Caenorhabditis elegans: one gene and its partners. The protein of the gene in region 3 purifies or fractionates together with the protein of the main gene of each other region. This does not show direct contact. Each region holds a gene or a part of one and is shown on either strand. Other genes may lie near its edges.

Evidence for each region.
Region 1: the proteins of pgm-3 (region 3) and Y53F4B.39 fractionate together in Caenorhabditis elegans (co-fractionation; one large-scale study listed by BioGRID). This does not show direct contact.
Region 2: the proteins of pgm-3 (region 3) and Y66D12A.19 fractionate together in Caenorhabditis elegans (co-fractionation; one large-scale study listed by BioGRID). This does not show direct contact.
Region 4: the proteins of pgm-3 (region 3) and pgm-1 fractionate together in Caenorhabditis elegans (co-fractionation; one large-scale study listed by BioGRID). This does not show direct contact.

What each region holds. Positions count from the first base shown.
Region 1 is NC_003280.10:15,108,270-15,116,143, reverse strand, and holds the start of Y53F4B.39 (Beta-lactamase-like protein 2 homolog), read right to left. Parts: upstream 6,001-7,874; 5' UTR 5,993-6,000; coding exon 5,895-5,992; intron 3,977-5,894; coding exon 3,845-3,976; intron 3,791-3,844; coding exon 3,518-3,790; intron 767-3,517; coding exon 280-766; 3' UTR 1-279. Other genes in the region: wshc-4 (HEPN_LA2681 domain-containing protein), read right to left, coding at 7,136-7,289.
Region 2 is NC_003281.10:11,507,423-11,511,990, reverse strand, and holds Y66D12A.19 (ArgoN domain-containing protein), read right to left. Parts: upstream 2,911-4,568; 5' UTR 2,865-2,910; coding exon 2,775-2,864; intron 2,731-2,774; coding exon 2,643-2,730; intron 2,589-2,642; coding exon 2,364-2,588; intron 2,311-2,363; coding exon 2,208-2,310; intron 1,429-2,207; coding exon 561-1,428; 3' UTR 524-560; downstream 1-523. Other genes in the region: Serine/threonine-protein kinase spe-6, read right to left, coding at 3,124-3,155, 3,204-3,784.
Region 3 is NC_003282.8:8,723,953-8,728,571, forward strand, and holds pgm-3 (Phosphoacetylglucosamine mutase), read left to right. Parts: upstream 1-1,769; 5' UTR 1,770-1,771; coding exon 1,772-1,868; intron 1,869-1,923; coding exon 1,924-2,117; intron 2,118-2,163; coding exon 2,164-2,510; intron 2,511-2,554; coding exon 2,555-2,903; intron 2,904-2,979; coding exon 2,980-3,218; intron 3,219-3,282; coding exon 3,283-3,591; intron 3,592-3,636; coding exon 3,637-3,754; 3' UTR 3,755-4,108; downstream 4,109-4,619. Other genes in the region: F21D5.9 (C2H2-type domain-containing protein), read left to right, coding at 96-275, 323-618, 669-750; otub-3 (OTU domain-containing protein), read left to right, coding at 4,526-4,619.
Region 4 is NC_003280.10:4,887,745-4,891,953, forward strand, and holds pgm-1 (phosphoglucomutase (alpha-D-glucose-1,6-bisphosphate-dependent)), read left to right. Parts: upstream 1-1,692; 5' UTR 1,693-1,698; coding exon 1,699-1,944; intron 1,945-1,997; coding exon 1,998-2,278; intron 2,279-2,325; coding exon 2,326-3,211; intron 3,212-3,262; coding exon 3,263-3,556; 3' UTR 3,557-3,683; downstream 3,684-4,209. Other genes in the region: R05F9.7 (Serpentine Receptor, class E (Epsilon)), read left to right, coding at 1-309, 354-467; gst-9 (putative glutathione S-transferase 9), read left to right, coding at 3,844-3,976.

The DNA of each region.
Region 1 (7,874 bases), on a different chromosome or scaffold from region 3:
ACTGAAATTAATTTTCCGGAAATTTTTTGAAAAATCAAACAAAAAAAATTAAAAATTTCAAATTTTTTCCAGAAGTTTGAATTTTTTAATTCGAAAAAATATGGTTTTCGAATTTAAAAAATGAATATTTTCGAGATTTTTTGGAATTCTCAAATATAGGTAGGTTAAAACTTAAATTTAATCTATGAAAAGTTCGAATTAACATCGTAAATTCTACATTTTGAAAACACATAAAGAGCGAATTAAATATTTAAAATTCCAAAAAATAATTTTTTTTTTCTACAAATTCGACGATTCATTCTTCTTCTCCTCTCCACTACTACTGCCTCCAATCCACTTGAAAGTCTCAAAATGCGGATTCTCAACGACTCCATCCTTGCAAAGCTTCTTCAGCACGAGCTTCACATTGTTCAACGCAGCCAGTCGTACAGCCCACGGCGAGTCAGCATAAACCTGATTAGTCACATCCATACTGGTGATCTCCTCGTGCTCTTTGAGCACTTTGATAATCTCGCGTTCTCGTTTCATTCGGTGCTCGATGTACTCGTCAACCTTCTCCACGACCTTATCGATAACCGGACCATGACCCGGATAAATCCTTGTCGCATTGAGATCCTTGATCTTTTGCAGTGAAGTCATATAGTCATGAAGATCCTCGAAGACGGTAGTTCCCTCGCCGAGGATGCAGTCTCCACTGAACAATGCTCGTTCCTCTTGGAGCCACAGAGAGAAGTGATCGGCGGTGTGGCCTGGAGTGGCGATTAGTCTGGAAATTTAATGTTTAAAGATGGACTAGCTTAAAGGTGGTGTAGTCGAATTTTTTTTAATTTCTTTATTGGACTCAAAATTGTCTGAAAACACCGAATTTTTGTTTTTTGATCCCAGCCCTGAAACTGTGGTATTAACTGTAGTAGCATAGCTCTTTTTCAAAAAATTGAATTGCCATGAGAAATTTTTTTTTGGAAATTTCAAGATATATCAATTTAGCCTTTCTTCGAGTTATTTTAAAGGTGGTGTAGTCGAATTTTTTTTAATTTCTTTATTGGACTCAAAATTGTCTGAAAACACCGAATTTCATAATGAAACTTCTTGAAAACTTTTCAAAAAAAAGTTATGGCCTCTTGAAAAATGGCCTAAAATTAGTGAAAATTTGAAATTTGACCGACTTATCATTGTCGCAGCGGCTGGAAACAATTTTTTTTTGAAATTGTCGTCTAATTTTGGCTATACAGGTCGATTATCTTGCGTTTTCAGCTTTATTAAGGTATTTGAAAGTCGATGGACGAAGAGATTTGTCAAATTTTTTTCATCAATTCTCTTCGTCCATCGACTTTCAAATACCTTAATAAAGCTGAAAATGCAAGATAATCGACCTGTATACCCAAAATTAGACGACAATTTCAAAAAAAAATTGTTTCCAGCCGCTGCGACAATGATAAGTCGGTCAAATTTCAAATTTTCACTAATTTTAGGCCATTTTTCAAGAGGCCATAACTTTTTTTTGAAAAGTTTTCAAGAAGTTTCATTATGAAATTCGGTGTTTTCAGACAATTTTGAGTCCAATAAAGAAATTTAAAAAAATTCGACTACACCACTTTTAAAATAACTCGAAGAAAGGCTAAATTGATATATCTTGAAATTTCCAAAAAAAAATTTCTCATGGCAATTCAATTTTTTTGAAAAAGAGCTATGCTACTACAGTTAATACCACAGTTTCAGGGCTGGGATCAAAAAACAATAAGTGTTTCGTTTTGATTTTGGACCAAGAAAAATTGAAATTTGGGAAAAATCAAAAAAAAACCAACAAAAAATTTGATACTTGAATTAATTTTTTTACCGTGAAAAATGCATTTTTTTTTGGTTTTTCGGTCTTAAAAAAACAAACAAAAAAATCAATTTTTCGTTACAATGGCAAAAAAATTCAAAAAAAAATCCCAGCCTTGTACAATACCACTACAGTACCCCCTATAATAATACTATAGTGCAACTACAATATACCTACAGTACACGTACAAAATAGCTATAGTACCAGTACACTTACAGTACTACTGTACTACTGTACCCCTACAGTACTAATGCAGCACACCTTCGGAACTTCTACAGTACCTCCGTAGTACCACTACAGTACCCCTATAATACTACTACAATGTCCCTACATTACCCCTACAGTACTACTACTACTACAGTATTGCTACCATTACGGCACTACTGTACTAACACATTTTTTTGGAACAAACGTTCAAAAAATTTTGTATTCATAAATTCCTTTTTGAAAAAAAATATGGATCCTTTTTTTTTTTGAGAATTTCAACAAAAAACTGAGATTTCAAGGTATTTTTTGAGGAACATTAATTGTTAAGGTTTTTTCCTTATTATTTTCGGAGATTTTCGACAAAAATTAGGAATTTAAAAAATCGTCCCGGAAAAAAAAATAATATAGAAAATTTCAAAGGAATTTAAAATCAAAAATTCTTAAAAATAACAGATGGTAACTGAAATTGCATTTAATTTGAAATTTCAGAAAATTCCAATTTTTTCCAAATTTTCACAACAAAAAATCGATTTCTAGCAGTACCCCCTACAACACTACTCATTTAAAAAGACACAATTAATTTGTTTCTAGAAATACAGTACTACTACAGTACCCCAATATCACTACTTCAGTACCCACCCCTCCCAATATCACTACAGTACCCCTGAAGTACTCCTACAGTAACCCTATAATACTACTACAGTACAACCGAAATATACCTACAGTACCTCTACAAAACTCCTTCACTACCCATATAGTACTACTAGAGTGCCCCTACGGCACTATTACAGTACTCCTATAATATACCTACAGTAACCCTACACTATCACTATAGTACTACTAAAGGAGGACTAACGGTTCGAACGATTTTGAACGTATAGACCCAAATTGAGCTCAAATGAACGAATTTCGTAATGAAACTGCTCAAAACAATTTTCAAACATTTTTTATGGCGGTTCAAAATTTTGAAAAAATTACACTGATTTTACCTAAAATCATGAGTTTTTCCCATTTTTTCGTGTCACATCTGTCCGAAGTTGGATTTTTTGGAATTATCGTCCTTTATTGCATATATTGGCAATTAATCTCATTTAATTTCGTGGATTAAAGTACATTTAAAGCCGATAGGTAACCAATTTCGATGATTTTTGGTTACCTAACGGCTTTAAATGTACCTTAATCGACGAAATTAAATGAGATTAATTACCAATATATGTAATAAAGGACGATAATTCATTTTTTCAATTTTTTCAAAATTTTGAAACGCCATAAAAAATTTTTGAAAATTGTTTTGAGCAGTTTCATTACGAAATTCGTTCATTTGAGCTCATTTTGGGTCTATACGGTCAAAATCGTCCGAACCGTTAGTCCTCCTTAATGCTACAGTACATACCTACAGTGCACCTACAGCGGAACTACAGTATCCCTACAGTACTACTACGGTTTTTTTCTAATAAAACCAATTCTCTAATGATAAATGCTCACTTCAGCGTGGCTCCATCAACTGCAACCTCAAACCCATCGTCAACATAATGAAATCTCTCGACACCCTCATCCTTGTCCCGTTTCATTTTATAAATAGGTATCTTCTTTTTATCCAAAATCTCATCAGTAATATTATCGATTCCACCAACATGATCGCCATGCCAATGCGTAATAACGATATATTCAATGTGGGAATTCGTAGATGCGAGAACTGATTTCAGTGCCGAAATGTACTCGGTGACGTTCGGCTCACCAGTGTCCACGAGGATTTTTCTGAAAGAAAAAATTTGATTAGAAATTAAAAATTTTCAGAATATTGCTGCCTACTTTGCACCAGTGCCCAGTAGATATGTATTAGTTCCTTGAAGAGTGAAGGGGCCGGGATTGTGGCCGAGAATTCTGGTGACCGCGTCGGAGAGCTTCTCGATGGGCTCCACGTGAGTGAGGCTTGGCATGGCTCTGAAAAAAAGAATTTCGAGATTTTCAGAGAAGTTTTGAAAAAAGTGTAGTGCTTTATGCAAAATTTGTGATTTTTTTTGCAGAGTAAATTCGAAACTGCAATTGCCCGAAAATCAAAACCAGCGCTACATTAGTCAGTTAAAGAGATACTGTAGTTTTCGCAACGAGATATTTTGCGCGTCAATTATGTTGCGCAATAGATTTCAGTTTTAGTTTCGGTTATTTCGATATATTTTAAATAATTTAATTCTTTAATTCCTAAATCTAGTCATAATCTAGTCTAAATCTACTCCAATCAGTGTTGTTTTACGCAGCTAGCTGTCGATTTACGGAGACTTTTTTTTCAATTTTTGCCAACTTTTACAGGTTCTGATTGTTAATAAATGCACAATTTTTTTAAATAATACAAAACTTTACAACCAATTTGATTTAACTTTTTTTCCGGAAAAATTACTGAATTTCGAGACATTGTTTCAAATGGGAAACTATGAAGAATTAAAGAAAACCAACTGAAAAGTGATCGATAATCGTTCTGTGACTTGTTTCGTCTATCTCTCTCTCTCTTTCTAAATTTCCCTTATTTTCGGAACACTGTAGTCAGTTGGCTACACTTAAATGATGATGTTTGCCAATTTCTAGGTGTCAGCCAATGGAATTTTGCAATTTTGTGACTTGGGCGATAAGTCAGAATGTATTGATAATGCAATTGTATAGTACAATGCAATTTCTGGCAAATCGGCAAATTGCGGGAATTGAAAATTTCCGGCAAACCGGCAAATTGCCAGAATTGAAAATTTCCGGCAAAAAGGCAAATTGCCGGAATTGAAAATTTCCGGCAAATCGGCAAATTGCGGGAATTGAAATTTTCCGGCAAATCAGTATATTGCCAGAATTGAAAATTTCCGGCAAAAAGGCAAATTGCCGGAATTGAAAATTTCCGGCAAATCGGCAAATTGCGGGAATTGAAATTTTCCGGCAAATCAGTATATTGCCGGAATTGAAAATTTCCGGCAAACCGGCAAATTGCCGGAATTGAAAATTTCCGGCAAATCGGCAATTTACAATGTTTGTTAAAAATTTTTTAAAGCCCCCTAAAACTAATAAATATTCAAAAAAAAGTAGTCTTCTTAAAAAATTCAGAGAAAATTCAGAAAAAAAAATGTCTTTATTAGGGAACAAATTTTGGTATCATTGTAGGTTTACGCAGCTGGATGTCGATTTACGAGCGGAATTTTTTTTCAATTTTTCTCAGATTCATGAGAAACAATATCATACATCCTGGAAAATAGTTTTTTTTTAATCATGGCATTGTAGATTTACGCATCTCTGTGTCGATTTACGAGCACTGGTTTTTTTCAGAATTTAGGAATTAAATTATTTATTTAAAAATTGAATAATTTAAAAATATTATCAATTAACACAACAATTTCTAAAAGTCAGAAAAAACCTCGTAAATCGACACAAGCAGTCAGAATTCACCAAAAAATGAGCTCGTAAATCTACACTGGCATCCGAAATTTTGACTTGAATTTAAAAAATAACTGAACACAAGCTCGTAAATCGACACAAAAAGCCGGAATTTCTAATTTTCTACTATTCTCGTAAATCGACAGAAAACCGAAATTTCGAAAATTCAGGAAAAAGATCAAAAAAAAATTCGTGGAAAAATCCTGAAAAAGCTCGTACATCGACACAAAGAGGCAAAATTTACCAAAGAATTAATGAGCTAGTAAAACTACACAAAGAGCTGAAATTCCTAATTTTCTTTGTCATTCTCGTAAATCGGCACAAAACCGAAATTATGAAAATTCAAAAAAAAAATCGTCGAGAAAGCCTGGAAAAGCTCGTAAATCGACACAAAAAGCCGAAATTTTGAAAAAAAAAACTTTCGCGCCAAGACCCCGAATTACAAACCAACCTATGTGCCTTTGAATTAACCAAATAGGCAACACCGGCGTATGCGAAATCCGTATAAAAACGAAGCATCGTCCAGGCTCGTCCAACGTACGCCGTCATCGTGTTCTGAATTACGAGATACTCATCTATGTTTCCGCCCCCGCCTCTGGGTGATTCAGAAATATAGGTCATTAGGTCGTTTTAGGACCAATTTTCATGGAAAATCGATCGGATAGAGAAAAATGGATTAAAAATGGTAGAAATTTAATTAAAATTTCAAAAAAAAACATTAACAATGGTGACAGGAGAGGATTGACGATATTAAATTAAAATAGTTTTTAAAAATTGGGAGCTGAGGAAAAAAAAGAAAAAAATATTCAAAACAAAAAAAAACTAAAAACTAGGTAATGATAAAAAGTCGCTGGAAATCGATTTTTATGGAAATTTGGATAAAAATTGGAAATTTTAGGATTTTTCCGAAAAATTTCGAGAATTTTAACAAAAATAGGATTTTTTGGAGAAAAAATTCAGTTTTTTTTCCAAAATTTTGAGAATTTTTGCAAAAATCTGGGAGTTTTAATCAAAAAGTTGAAATTTTTTCTATTTTTCCAAAATTTTTGAGAATTTTCGCTAAAATCTGAAATTTTTAATTAAAATTTTTATTTTTTTCAGTTTTTTTGGGATTCTCAAAAAAATGTTCGATAAAAAAATCGAATTTTTAGAATTTTCACGATTTTTCAAAATTTTTGACTTTTTCTGTAAAATCGGGAATTTTTAATTAAAAAGTTCAAACAATTTTCTGTTTAGCTGAATTTTTTGGATAAAAAATTTAATTTTTAGAATTTCCAGGATTTACCAATTTTATCGGGAATTTCAACAAAACGCTATAATTTTAAGAAACTTTTCTATAATTTTTTTTTGAAATTCCGGAAATTTCAGTATTTTTGACTGAAAAAGTTTTTAAAAAAATTACTAAAAACTAAAATTTCTGAATTTTTCTAAATTTTCCAAAATTTTTCAACTATTCGCAAAAAAATCGATTTCCAGGCGAAAAAAAAACAAACTAAACAATTTTACAAATATAAGGGGAGTAAAATGAGAAAATGTGGCTAGACTGTAGCATTTGATAACAACAGAAACGAACAAATCGGTATTATGGGGAAAAAAAGTCAAGTGTTAGACGGTAGAAAAATGAAATTTTGAGCAAAAATGTGGGTCCCGCAACGATTTGTGAGGGGGGGGGGGGGGATACTGTAGTTTGACCTAATTCATCGTGAAAATGGTGTGCTGAATGCCGAAATTCATTTTGAAATTTGTGAGAATTTTGAGCTCCGTCTGAAGTCGTTCGATTTTCAACTGTACTGCCTGACTGTACTCGCGGCTTTCCGATTGTGAACGAATTTCGTGCTCTTTTGTGCTGAAAATAGGAAGGTAGAATTGAGAATTTAAAAAAAAAAATATTTTTGAAAAAATGTTTTCAAAAATTTCAAAAAAACATTTTTTGTTGGAATTTTTACTAATTTGAGAGAAATTCGGAATTTTTTATAAAGCTCATTTCTTCCCGCAATTTAATATTGGTTTTACCAAGAAAAGTAAGTATAAATTGCAATTTTTGAAAATTGGCGAAAAAATAATTTGTAAATTTTTTTAGAACTTCAGATTTTCCAGATTTCCTGTTCAAAATATTAAGAAATTTTTTTTCAGAATTTTAAAATTTTGAAAATTTCAACAAAAAACTGTGCTTTTATAAGATTTACAGAATTTTTAAGCTTTTTCGTTAAAAAACTTATTTTAAAATTTTTCTAATTGTAAGAAAAAATAAATTTCATACAATTTCAGGCTTTTTTCTCGAAAATTAAAAAAAAAAACTGGGATTTTAAGAAATTTGTCTGAAAAAAATTCGGCAAATTTTCGATTTTCCGGAAATCGATTTCGGCAATTTGGAAAATTTGTCAGAAATCTTTAATCTCCGGAATTTAAAATCGGCAAATTTTCAAATCCG
Region 2 (4,568 bases), on a different chromosome or scaffold from region 3:
TATTTTTATGGCTTTTTTTCATTAAAATTTTTTGTTGAAAAATTTGCAGAAAAATATCGGTTTGGAATTTTTTTTCTAGAATAAAAAATTTAATTTTTCGAATTTTCAAGAACTTTTAGGAAGTTTGCCTTTTTTTGTAAAGTAAAAAAAAAAACAAAATTTAATAGAAAATTGAGTTTTTTAAACATTTTTTTTTTCGTGTTTTTAGGGGAAAAAAATCGAATTTTCTGATTGATTTTCCAATTTTTCGGTAAAAATTATTGTTTTTTTTTTGTTAAAAATGGGGGTTTTTGGGTTTTTCGTGATTTTGGCCGAAAAAACGCTTTTTTTAATCGGAAAAACCTATTTTTACAGCATTTTTTCATTAAAAAATTTTCTTTTTGCAAACATTTGCAAAAGATATCGGTTTTTCGATTTTTTAAATCCTAAAATCGAAAATTTAATTTTTCGAAATATACACCAGCTTTTAGGAAATTTTCCTTTTTCGTAAAGTAAAAAGAAACAAAATTAAAACAAAACGAGACAAAATAATACGGGTATTCATCTTTTTAAGAAATAATTCAATTTTGCCTATTTCGCCAGTTTCCTCCACGAGCAGAGTCATTCTCGCCGCGTCGGCCGCCACCTCCTCCTCCTCTTCCTCGTCGTGATCCTCCTCCGAACCTGCCTCCGACGGTGTTTGAGCCATTGTGAGTTGCGAATTGCGGATTTGCTTGGAACGTAGTCGTCATTGAATTGTGATCGAACACGTTACTTCTGGATCCAAAACTTCCACCGACCACCGTTTTCGGCGCATCTTCAACCTTCAAGTCCTGAGGCAGAGTCCGCGGCGGAAGGGATCGTCCACGCGAAGAAGCATCACGTCTACCGAGAGCTGGCTTTTCTTCTGGAACAGCCGGAAGGAGCACTTCTCTCGTTGAACGGTCACTTCCCCAGGTGGCTCTCGGAGCTCTCGGAGCATCCTGCTTCAAATCCTGAGCCGGCGGCTGAGCCCGCGGGATAGAGCGTCCGCGTGAAGCATCACGTCTACCGAGAGCTGGCTTTTCTTCTGGAACAGTCGGGAGCATTTCCCTCGTTGGACGATCATTTCCCCAAGCGAGGGCGCATTTCGGGGCTTTTAGCTTCAAATCCTGAATCGACGGCGCAGCTCCACGCGAAAAATCCGTTTTTTCGAATGATTTTTCCTTGGAAACAGAATGAGCCACGTGCTCCTTGACAGTCGGCAGCACTGCCATCGTTGGACGACGATCACCGCCGGAGGAGACGAAACGAGCTCCTCCACGTGGTGGCTTGTATTTCGGCGCTCCTGCCGCCGCCGTCGGCTTCTCCTGGTTTTCCTTCTTTTGCTGAATATCAGCTCTCATTACGATCGGCCATAGGGAGTTGGTGATGAAATTGATCATGACTCCACCACCGTTCATGAGCTGGCTGGAAAATAGATTTTGATTAAATAATTGCAGGGTTTAAAGGTGGAAAGTGGGGAAATTGCTTTAAAACACGCCTATAGGGCCACAATGACCGAATATCATGATTTAAAAAATTCAAAAAAAATTTCTAGATTTTATATGATTTTTTGAAAATTGAAAAACTCACAGTTTTCACCTAATTCCTATTTGAATTACCGCCAATTGGATTTGTTCGATTGAGCGCGCTTGCATTATTTTTATCAATTAATTTTATTTATTCTCGTTATTTCACTGATTTTCTATGTTTTTTCATCAGAAAATGAAAGAATAAATAAGAAAAATGCGAAATGTTTGTTAAAAAGTAATTGAAAATGCGTAAAACTGTGAATATATATATATATATACTATTATAATTTCAGTTCCGACGACAACAAGCCTGAAATTAGTATATTTTACAGTTTTACTCATTTTCAATTACTTTTTAACAAACATTTTGCATTTTTCTTGTTTATTTCTTTCATTTTCCGATGAAAAAACACAGAAAAATAAGAAAATCAGTCAAATGACGAGAATAAATAAAATTAATTAATAAAAATAATGCAAGCGCGCTCCACCGAACCTGACGGAAATTCAAAAATAATTAGGTGAAAACTGTTTTTTTCAATTTTCAAAAAATCATATAAAATCTAGAAAATTTTATTCGGTCATTGTGGCCACGGGCGTGTTTTGAAGCAATTTCCCCACTGAGCGTAGTCCACCTTTAAATAATTGCAGATTTTAATGATTTTTTCTTCTAATTACCCAAATTCTTCCTTGAGCTTTGTCTTGTCCTCAGCTGAGAGCTTCCTGCCAAGTTCCAGGCGAATGAACTTGTCACGTGGCGCGTCTGGAAACAATGTGGACTCTGAAAATGGAAATTTAATTATTTTTCCCACATTTCTCAATGAAATCATATACTCGGCTGTTCCTTTAGCACTAGGCGAACAGTGACATTGCGAAAACTATCTCTTCTGGTGATGAATTTGATTTCTGGGTCCTTAGCCCCAGCAGCAGCGTCGGAGGGAAGCATCGAGAGAAGCTTCGGTTTCCTCAATCTCGAGATATACTCAATATCCTTGAGCTCCCTTCTCAGCTTCTCGAATCCCGCCATCACGTTTTGTCCGACGGCAAAGCGGAATAGCACTGGAAAACAAAATCAGAAAAAATTGGATGATTTTAACAAGCTAAAATACAAACTTTCTGTGCTATCCGCATCCAAATTCGCCAGAACTTCCATTTTCAGCAGTCTTTCCTCCAGAAATCGCTTGGGATTCTTTTTGAGATACTGGAAAAAACGGGAAATTTATTAGGTTATTTCGGAAAACTCACATCATCCTCCGGGTTCGCATATTTCAAGCCAGCAAGCTTCAAAGTCTCTGAAAGCGGCATTTTGAAGCCGGTTGGTCGCTCGAACGGCATTTTCGCAGTTTTCTGGAAAAATTTCCGATGAAAACAATGAAAAATTAAAGAAAATTGGGAGAAAAACAGGGGCCGTGGGGGCCCGTAAATCCTGCTACAGTAGTCAGGCGTTGGGTCTCGCCACGATCATGCCGCACCGCTTTTGAATTTTATTCATTTTTATTGATTTTTATTGATATTCCAACAAAAAAAGTGATTTTTAAATTAAAATTCTTTATTTACGAGTAAAAATCGAATAAATGTAGTACAATTTAGTGCTTCACTTCTCCGTTCTCGCAGTTTCGACGTTTTCTGAAATAAATTCAATTTAATCAACGTTTTTTCCATTATTTTTCCAACTTGTACACGATTTCTCCGCACTGAGCGATTTAGAAATTCCCTCTTTTGGTGGCATATCATCAAATTCAATATCCATCGACTCATTCGCATTGTCCTTCGCATCCAACTTCGCCGACGCTTGATGAGATTCTCCGAGTTCCCCGACGAAAATCGCCTTTTGCTGCATTCTCTCATTATTCTGCCAGTCCAAAGGCTCTTTCAGTGTCACTTGATGCTCCGTGGCGGCCTGAGACAGCAAATCACCGAGCTTCTTGTAATTTGGCCTGTCGAAATACGACGTTTGATCCAGAATCGTGAGAATTTCATTAAATTGCTTCGGGACTCCTTCGAAAAACTCGGATCGAAGCGGCTCGCTTCGAATCGCGACTTTCGCCTCTCCAATCTGCTTGTGATTCTTGTGACCGTCGATATTCGCCCATGGAAGTGGTCCCTTGAGCAACTCAATACCCATGTAAAACCAGCTTTCCAAGTCGTCCCGTGCACATTGGTCCTTGTGAGAGTGGGCAGAAACTGCACAATATTGAAAAGTTCCCATCAGTGCTGCAGCGGTTCTCGGCGGGATGATTTTGCCCTCCTTGTCTCTGAAAATTGTCAGTTTTTGGCTGGAATTCTAGCTCTTGACTAGATTATCCTATAATAGCTACTTCAAAAATTGTTTATCAGTTTTCCATGTCCAAAAAAAAATCGAAATTTTAAGATTTTTTTTCCGATAATTCGAAAAAAAAAATCCGATTTTTCGAGAAATACACAGATTTGTGCCGAACTAGGCCATTTTGGCTCAGCCATATCTAGATATCTAGATATGGCTGAGCCAAAATGGCCTAATTCGGCACAAACTCTTCCATTTCAATTTACGAGGGAAGCCAGAAATCTGTTCTCGAAAAATCGGATTTTTTTTCGAATTTTCGGAGAAAAAATCGGAAATTTTCGATTTTATATATATCGTCGTCTGGGTAGATTTACGGCGCGTTGCGTGTCGCGTCGCGGCTCGATTGTAAAACTAAACGCAGTTGTCCGTGTGGAGTACACGACACTTTCCCACGCGTTGTCTCCGGCAGGCGATTCTCAATGGAGCGCTAAAAATTCAATGAGCAAGGCCAAAACCCCGTGAAATAGCCTAAAAGTTTGGGCATTTTTCACGGGGTTCTGGCCTTCCTCATTGAATTTTTGCGCTCCATTGATAATCGCCCGCCGGACAATGCGTGGAAATATGTCGTGTACTCCACGCGGACAAATACATTAAGTATTACAACTAAAAACGAGCCGCGACGCGACACGCAACGCGCGGTAAATCTACCCCAGATATGGCCGAACCAAAATGGCCTAGTTCGGCAAACTCTTCCATTTCAATTCATGAGGGAAGCC
Region 3 (4,619 bases):
TCTAGGTGCTTTTCCATTCGAAATATTTTAAATACCTAAGAAATGTTTTTTGAAATTCCTGTTTTAGGATTGCAACGTCATTTTTTCAACTAAGAATGGCAGATGGTCCAATGGCAAAAAAGTTTCGAATCTGGAATCCCGCAGTTTCAGAAGTGTCTGAAAACCGGGAAGATCCTGGAACAAACCTACAGACTCAAGATGAAGAATCTCCAGACGAGACACCTCTTGATTGCACTTCCAAGACTGCACAAATTCAGTTTCCCCAAGTTTTTCAAGTAATATATCCAAGTACTGTACCAAATGCACAAATAATATTTTTCAGAATTATCTTCAACTTGCACCCCTAATGATTCGCCTTCAACAACAACGTCAAATGGAAGAGTTTGCACGCCGCCAATTCATTTCCACATTATGCCATGCTTCACCAGCACCGATTACTGTACCTCTTCCACGTGTCCAGCAACCCCGTGCAACCACATCAACCAGTTCCTCCTCTTCCACGTCATCAAGCTCTGGGGTTACTGTACCTTCTACAATGAACAATCCACTTGTGGCTAATGCTCTTGGCAGTTCTTTGGTTAATGAAAATTGTTGTGCTGTATGTGGAGCAGTTTTCAGGTAAATACTACAAAGCTCTTGGTTCTGGAATCCAATTTTCTTGATTTCAGACTGACTGGTGACTTAGTACAACATATGCGTAACAATCATCGAAAGAGCAAGTTCAAGAGAAAATCGGATCTTCGTCAATAAGAAACAAAATAACTTTTCCTTTTTTTTCTCCGAGAATTTTATTATTTAGCTACTTAATATTTATTATTTGTCTCAAAACGTTTTTCCAGTGATTTCTCTTTTTCTGTCTTTTCTCTTTCTTGCAATAATTTTTTTCCTAGAATTTCCTCTTTTCAATGAAAAATCTTATTGATATACTTTTTTTTCCAATTTTTTACAAGATGTGGTAGACCAATGCTGTTCTTCGAACAATTTTCATCGAGAAAGGAATAATTCTAGAAAAAATAATTTTAGTGGACGGATGATTCCAACTGAATTTTTTTCTAACAAAAATGAGTTTTCAGCCACAATAAGGCCTCAATCATGAATAGGCCTGAAAATTTCTACAGTGCTCATGATCGCTGTGAGACCCGGAACTCACGCAACAGTGCGCGCCTGGAAACCGTACCATCGAAATGTTAGTTCATTTTTTTTCCTAATTATACTTTTTAAAGAAACACCATATATTCCGTTCAGCTCTAAAAATTATTCAAAAGAGTAATAAAACTATACTAGAAAACTATTTTAGTATTTAGCGAAACTTTCTTAATCTGAATCATAAATTACGATCTACAAGTTTGATCTTTGTTTCCCGCGTCCTGTTAAACATTTTCCATGAGAAAATAAAACACATACAGCACCGACATTTTTCAATTCCATGTTCTTTTTTCAAAACATTGTTTCTGGTCTCAGTGTGAATATAATCATACCTTTTGTTTCCGCTTGTTATCAGTTGAACGTTTATTACTTCATCATCATTTTTCATTAACACGCCCTGTTATGATCAATATACTCGTTTATTTAACGTTTTTACTTTCTGGTGGGAAAGGAAAAACGCGTTTAGAACTCTTTTCCGCACAACGCTCCGAAATAACGTCTTGGGCGTTGTTTAGCGCCGTAAATCAACATGTAGTTTAGATTCATCTGATTTAATACATTTTATTGGTTCTGTCGACTTATTTCTCTACGTATTTAAAATTCGAAATCCAAATTTTTTTCAGAAATGGATCTCACTGTTCCAGTTGAATATTCACGTGCCGGTAACACAACTCACAGCGGTAATGTGCATGCCATTCAAGACGATGAGAAATTCTCGTATGGTACGACTAAAAATAAAATATTTTCTTTTATCATTTTCAAAGTTTGCTATTTCAGGAACTGCTGGATTCCGATTCAAGTCCGAGAAGCTTCCATTCATCGTCTTCCGGTGTGCTTACGTTGCGAGTCTTCGTGCGCGGCAGCTCAACTCAGCTATCGGAGTGATGATTACAGCTTCACACAATCCATCATGTGACAATGGTGTGAAATTAGTGGATCCAAGTGGCGATATGCTCAATGAGCAGTGGGAGGTTAGTGAAAATAAATAAAAAACGCACAGAAACCTTTTTTCTACAGATATACGCGACTGAAGTTGTGAATGCTACTGATGCCGAGCTCCCAGCCGCAGTTCGAGCTCTTGAAAAACAAATTTCAGTCGGAAAGACCCAACTTTCCCGTGTCGTTTGTGGTATGGACACACGTTGCTCTGGTCCTTGTCTGATGAATGCAGCAAGAGCCGGTGCAGCGTTATTCAATGTACAATTCGATGATATCGGTGTTGTGTCGACTCCAATGCTTCATTATGCTGTCAAGGCATTCAACGAGCCAAAATTCGCAGAGCCAACTCACGATGGATATTATTCTGCAATCGCCGATTCGTTCAAGAAGCTGTATGAAATAACTGAGGAACCCAAAGACTCGAGGTACGGTTCAGAGAAAAACTTGCCATTAAAAAAGTATTCTTCAGATATCAACCAAAAGTCATTGTCGATTGCGCAAACGGAGTCGGTGCTCCACGGTTCAGAAATCTTCTTGAGCGAATCCCATCATCACTTCTGGAAGTTGAATTTCGTAATGAATCGGAAGAACTGAATCAGGGATGTGGTGCCGATTTCGTTAAGATTTCGCAAAAGTTACCAGCAAACTTCTCACCGACAGCAGCAGAACCAAAATGTGCTTCATTTGATGGAGATGCCGATCGCTTGATGTACTTCCGTGCAAAGGCTTCAGAAAATTCGGAATCAAACGATGCTGAGCTGTTCGACGGTGACAAAATTGCAGTTCTGATTGTCACATACATTCGGGAGCAACTGAAGGTGATTTATTTCAAAATAATAGTTATCAAATTATGAATAAACTGAGTGTGAAGTTTTCAATGATGCATCATTCTAGGATTACGAAAATTCCACTCCGATGGAACGTCTCCGCCTTGGTATTGTTCAAACAGCATATGCGAATGGAAGTTCAACACGCTACATTCGTGAAAAGTTGGGTATTGAGCCAATTATTGTACCTACTGGAGTCAAGCATCTGCATGAAGCTGCTTCTGAGTTCGACATTGGAATTTATTTCGAGGCCAACGGACACGGAACTGTTGTTTTCAGCGAGATTTTCGACCGCATCATCAGAAGGTATAGGAGACTAAACAGCTTCATAAATTTCTTTTTTTTCAAATATAGAAATGAATTGTTTCAGAACTCCAACTGAATCATTACCTCTCCGTCGTCTAGCACTTTTCTCCCGTGTCATCAATGAAACTGTTGGGGATGCTTTTGCAGATTTGCTTGCCGTGGAAGCTGTTCTCCGTCACTATGGATGGTCTATGGATGACTGGGCCGAAAAACTGTATCGAGATGTTCCGAATGTGCAGATCAAAGTTCCAGTTATTGATCGTTCCATTTTCAAAACGACGAACGCCGAGCAAACTCTTGTGAAACCTGTTGGAATTCAAAAAATGATTGATACGGATGTTGCAAAGTACAATAATTCGAGAGCTTTCATCAGGTAATCTTATCTGAAGTTTTTGTTTCATATTCAAATCGATTTCAGACCATCTGGCACCGAGAACATTGTTCGCGTATACGCTGAAGCGGATACTGTTGAAAATACATTGCAACTCGGAAAATCTCTCGAACAAGTCGTTCTCAACCTTTGCAACTCGAACTGAAGAAAATAAATTCCATATGTAGTCTCGAGTTTTCACAATGTATTTTTATTCATCCCTTCAGTTTAGTCATTTTCAGCATAATCTCCCAAAGTTTTTTTTAAATTTTTCCCTTTCATATTCCCATATTTATTTGTTAAAATTCATTTATGAGTTTCTACTGGTTTCCCCATTTCCCTATATCAACTTTCAACGGTTTTAAAGTAAATTCCTGGTTTCATTAAAACACATCATTGGCCCTTTCCCCTATGCTTTAAAATATATTGAAAAATTGTGATAACTAGATAACAGAGTGATGACGAATTGAAGATTCTCGTTTTGAGACTTCATCTTGAGTAAAAATGAATGTTTCGATATAAAATCATGGGTATTCTAGCTCGTTGTTCAATAAGAAGTCTACAATTTCTTTTGTACTTTCGTTATGAAATTTTCGTTTGTGGAAATTTCCATGGAAACATTTTCCTAATTTTAAGACCGCAAAACAAATTTTCAATCGATTTAAAAATGTCGTCGGATGGTGAGCAGGATGAAGAAAATCCGATCCTAGCACGGCATCGGCGTGAAAAGAAAGAGTTGAGAGGTAATTTTGACATTAAAAGAGAAAAATATTTCAAGTAGACTTGAAATGTACAACCAAACATTTTTTTTGATCTACCCGCCAATACTGAAAACTATGCGGATGTTTTTTAAATGTTCTTGATAGTTTTCAATCAACCAGTTCCGTAGTCTTTCACTTACTTCTTCGCATTTTTCTACAAATTCCCATTATTCATTATGTCGGGCACACCAAAACGAAACAGAACCTATTTGGCCCCGGATGATGAACATACTCCCACTAAAAAGAGGGAATCATCACCAAAATCACGCC
Region 4 (4,209 bases), on a different chromosome or scaffold from region 3:
AAGAGATTATCATGGAAAGCTGAGAATCTTCGGAAAATGAAAAATGTAAATTATACATTGAGCAAGAAGTTTCAAGTTGAAGAAAATGTGAAAATTATTAAATATCTGCAAGTTATGAGCTCCATGTTGGTTTTTCTCATATTTTTTGTTATTATATTTATTGTAGTTCCTAGAGTATATCTGGGTTCAAAAACATATTCGGGTCAAGTTATGATTTCACTTTTTGATATTAATTTGGCACTTGGTGCAATTCTAATTCCTTCCGTTTGCGTTTTACATTTACGGAAAACTAGAGATATGCCATTTTCTGTAGGTTTTTATCAATTTTTCAGATTTTCATTATATATTTTCAGGGGAAAATCCATTGTTTGAATAAGAGACGCGATGACCGTCAGGTGAACCCGATTACTGTATTTGAAGACGTTACAAAATCATATTTCGATCAATTTCAAACATCTTGGCGATGATTCATATGATTTTTGGAAATATTACTTTGAAGTTTTGTTATAAAATGTTACATTAGAAACATTTGTGTTTTTTAAACATGTTTTATTCTTCAGTGATTCTTCCAGCACAAAACAAAAACAGCACAAAGTCCGTTGTTTTATTTTTAGTGAGAGCGTCACTTTGTTTTTATAAATAATTTAGATTCTTTTATTCATATAATTTTTGGGTAAAAAACTGTTTTTGGTTTTTTGAAAAATTTCATTAAAGTGAAACATTAACCACGGTAGAATTAAAGGCGCAGCATGAATAAGTTTTCGTGTGCTCCGCAACGATTTTAACTACCTTAACCTACAATCGGAATTCGTTTAAAAAACAAAAAGCGAGTCATTTTGTTTCAATAAAAAGTTGAGTTTTTCTTAAATACTTATCAATATTTTCTCCAAATTTCATTCGGTTACTATCAAAAAAAAGTTTTTTATTAATTACGGTCGGTTTAAAGGCACAGAAGGAAAAAAGTGTTTGTCAGTATCGCAGCGATTTTAATTACCGCATACCATTATTGAAATTTTGTTTGAAAAAAACAAATTACTCGAAATGCGCGCGCGGTATTCACCATTTGTATCGTTCTTTTTCCCGAAATTTCGTTGTTTTTGTGTTCGACACAATATATTCAATAGTTTGTAGCGATGAAAACCTTGATAAGCAATAGGGGGCGTCTCGAATTTTCGAAAGAGAGTATAAAGAAGATAAATTTTTTTTCGCTCATTGATTTCTTTTCATTTTTCTTTATCTTTTTTGATGAACAGCAGCAGTTGTTCCATTTCTACACGTATTTTGTTGCTCTCTATTTCTCTGAACTCTCTGTTTGTGTGGGTGCTCTCCTTTGGCGCCAACAACTGCAGCTGGCATTTCTTTTCTTTTTTCGCTGCGAAATCTGAACTATTCCTGCCCACCCACCAGAAGATAAATAAATTCTTCGTGTTCTTAACATGTCTGTCTACCTGGACTTTAAAAACCCCATTTAAAAGTTGCATTTGAGGTCAAAAGTTATCCCAGAAGAGTTCGAGCACATTTTAGGTCGGCCCATTTCTAAAGTTATTCATTTTTCTATGTTTACTATCACTGAACATTGACCAACCACTTGACTTTCGTGATAAGATACGAAGCGATCATTTTCTGTTTACTATTTTCTCTTTTCTCATAGTCAGTCCATTTTATTTTCTGATCTATAATATTTATTTTCAGCCTAAAATGGGAATCGCCGTCGTTGAAACCCCCACAAAACCATTCGCAGGACAGAAACCCGGAACATCTGGTCTTCGCAAACGGGTTCCGGAATTCCAGCAGCAGAATTACACGGAAAACTTTGTTCAAGCAATTTTGGATGCTGGTCTTGGATCGAAAAAGAAGGGTTCTCAGTTGGTTGTTGGTGGAGATGGACGGTTTCTTTCGATGGAAGCCACAAATGTGATTATTAAAATTGCAGCAGCCAATGGGGTAAGAAATATTGAGAAATTTTAGTAATTTTTTTATAAATTTGAGTTTTTCAGCTTTCCCGTCTTATCGTCGGTCAAAACGGTTTCTTGTCGACGCCAGCTCTCTCGAATCTTATCAGAAAAGGACACGAAGGTCGTGTTGTTGATGGAGGAATAATTCTCACTGCTAGTCACAATCCAGGAGGTCCAAAGGGAGATTTTGGAATCAAATTCAACTGCGAAAATGGTGGACCTGCTCCAGATCAAGTCACTGATGCCATTTATCAGATCACAACTAAAATCGATAAATACTTGATTGCCAAGGATTTAGAATGCGATTTTACACAAGTTGGAAGGTAAACACATCAATATTTTGATTACATTGATGTACATTAATTTTCAGATATGAATATGATATTGAGGGAGTTGGTCACTTTGTCGTTGACGTCATTGATTCAGTTACCGAATACATCAACCTCATGCAGAAAATCTTTGATTTCCCAAAAATCAAATCCCTTCTCGCTGGTGAACTTACTGGACGCAAACTCAGAGTTTTACTTGATTCGATGCACGGAGCAACTGGACCATACATCTCTACAATTCTTGTCGATCATCTTGGAGCTGATCCTTCTGATCTTTTGAGAACTGTTCCAAAGCCAGATTTCGGTGGAGGTCATCCAGATCCAAATCTCACCTACGCAAAAACTCTTGTTGAACGCCTCCACACCGGAGAACACGATTTAGGAGCTGCATTTGATGGAGATGGTGATCGTAATATGATTCTTGGAAAGAATGGCTTCTTCGTTTGCCCCAGTGATTCTTTAGCTGTTATTGCTGATAACATTGATTATATTCCATATTTCAAGACTCGTAAGGTTGCTGGTTTTGCTCGTTCAATGCCAACTGCTGGAGCTGTTGATTTGGTTGCCAAGGCAAAGGGACTTCAAGTGTATGAGACACCGACCGGTTGGAAGTACTTTGGAAATCTTATGGATGCTGGAAGAATTGCTATTTGTGGAGAAGAATCATTCGGAACTGGATCTGATCACATTCGTGAGAAGGATGGCGTTTGGGCACTTCTTGCATGGCTTCAAATTCTCGCAGACCGAAAAGAATCCGTCGAGGAAATTGTGACGAAGCATTGGCAGAAATATGGAAGAAATGTGTTCACTCGTTACGACTATGAGAATGTGGATGCAGCTGGTGCCAACTTGTTGATGACTTTCCTTGAAGCTCAATTGCCAGCATTTGTTGGAAGAGATTTCTCGGCAAATGGGGTTACATATAAGGTGAGAGAAAGTTCGAAAAGATTTATTTTTTCTAAAAAATACTATTTCCAGGTTGCTGTCGCTGACAATTTCCAATATACTGATCCAGTGGATGGTTCAGTTGCAACCAAACAAGGACTCCGAATTGTCTTCGAAGATGGATCTCGATTGGTATTCCGACTCTCTGGAACAGGATCTGCCGGTGCTACCATCCGTCTCTACGTTGATTCGTACATTCCTTCAAATGACACTTCTCGCCTTCTACTTCCAGCTCACGAATTGCTCAAACCATTGGTGTTGATTGCACTTGATACTTGCAAAATGGAGCAGTTCACTAATCGCAAGGCTCCAACTGTTATCACATAATTTTAGTATTTAAAAATGATTTATATATTGCATGAGTTTAGCTAAATAATTATGTGTAGATTTTCCTCGGTTTATATAATTTTATGTTGCACGTAAACGAAAAGTTGAATGAAAATTTGAAAACTTATGAGAATATTGTGAAATACATCAATGTTGGTTTTTGGAAAAAAAAGTTGATGTTTGTGGTTTTCTGATGTCGATTTAGTGAGAAATGAGAAACGCAGACACTGAGAGCGAAGGGTTCAAAAGCGCCAGATTGTGACGAATTCTTCATTTTATTCTGAAAAATGGTTTCCTATAAACTAATTTATTTTCAATCTCGTGGAAATGGAGAAATCGCTCGTCAAGTTTTCGCTTTTGCCGGCCAAGAATTTATTGATGAGCGTATTTCTAAAGAGCAGTGGGCAGAAATTAAAAATAGTAAGTTCAAAAGTTGCATTTTAGAATGAAATCCTCAGTTTAAAAAGTTGATTAATTACAATGTAGCGAAATGCTTCAGTTTTTAAGTGGTATCCCGCCACGAACAAAATATCCTCACATAAAGATTAAGGTGTGCCTTTAAGCAGTACAGTAACCCATTTTACAATTTTATTCGATTTTTCCACATTATTAAATAAATTCAATTCGATTTTCTACTGAAAAAAATCGAAAAT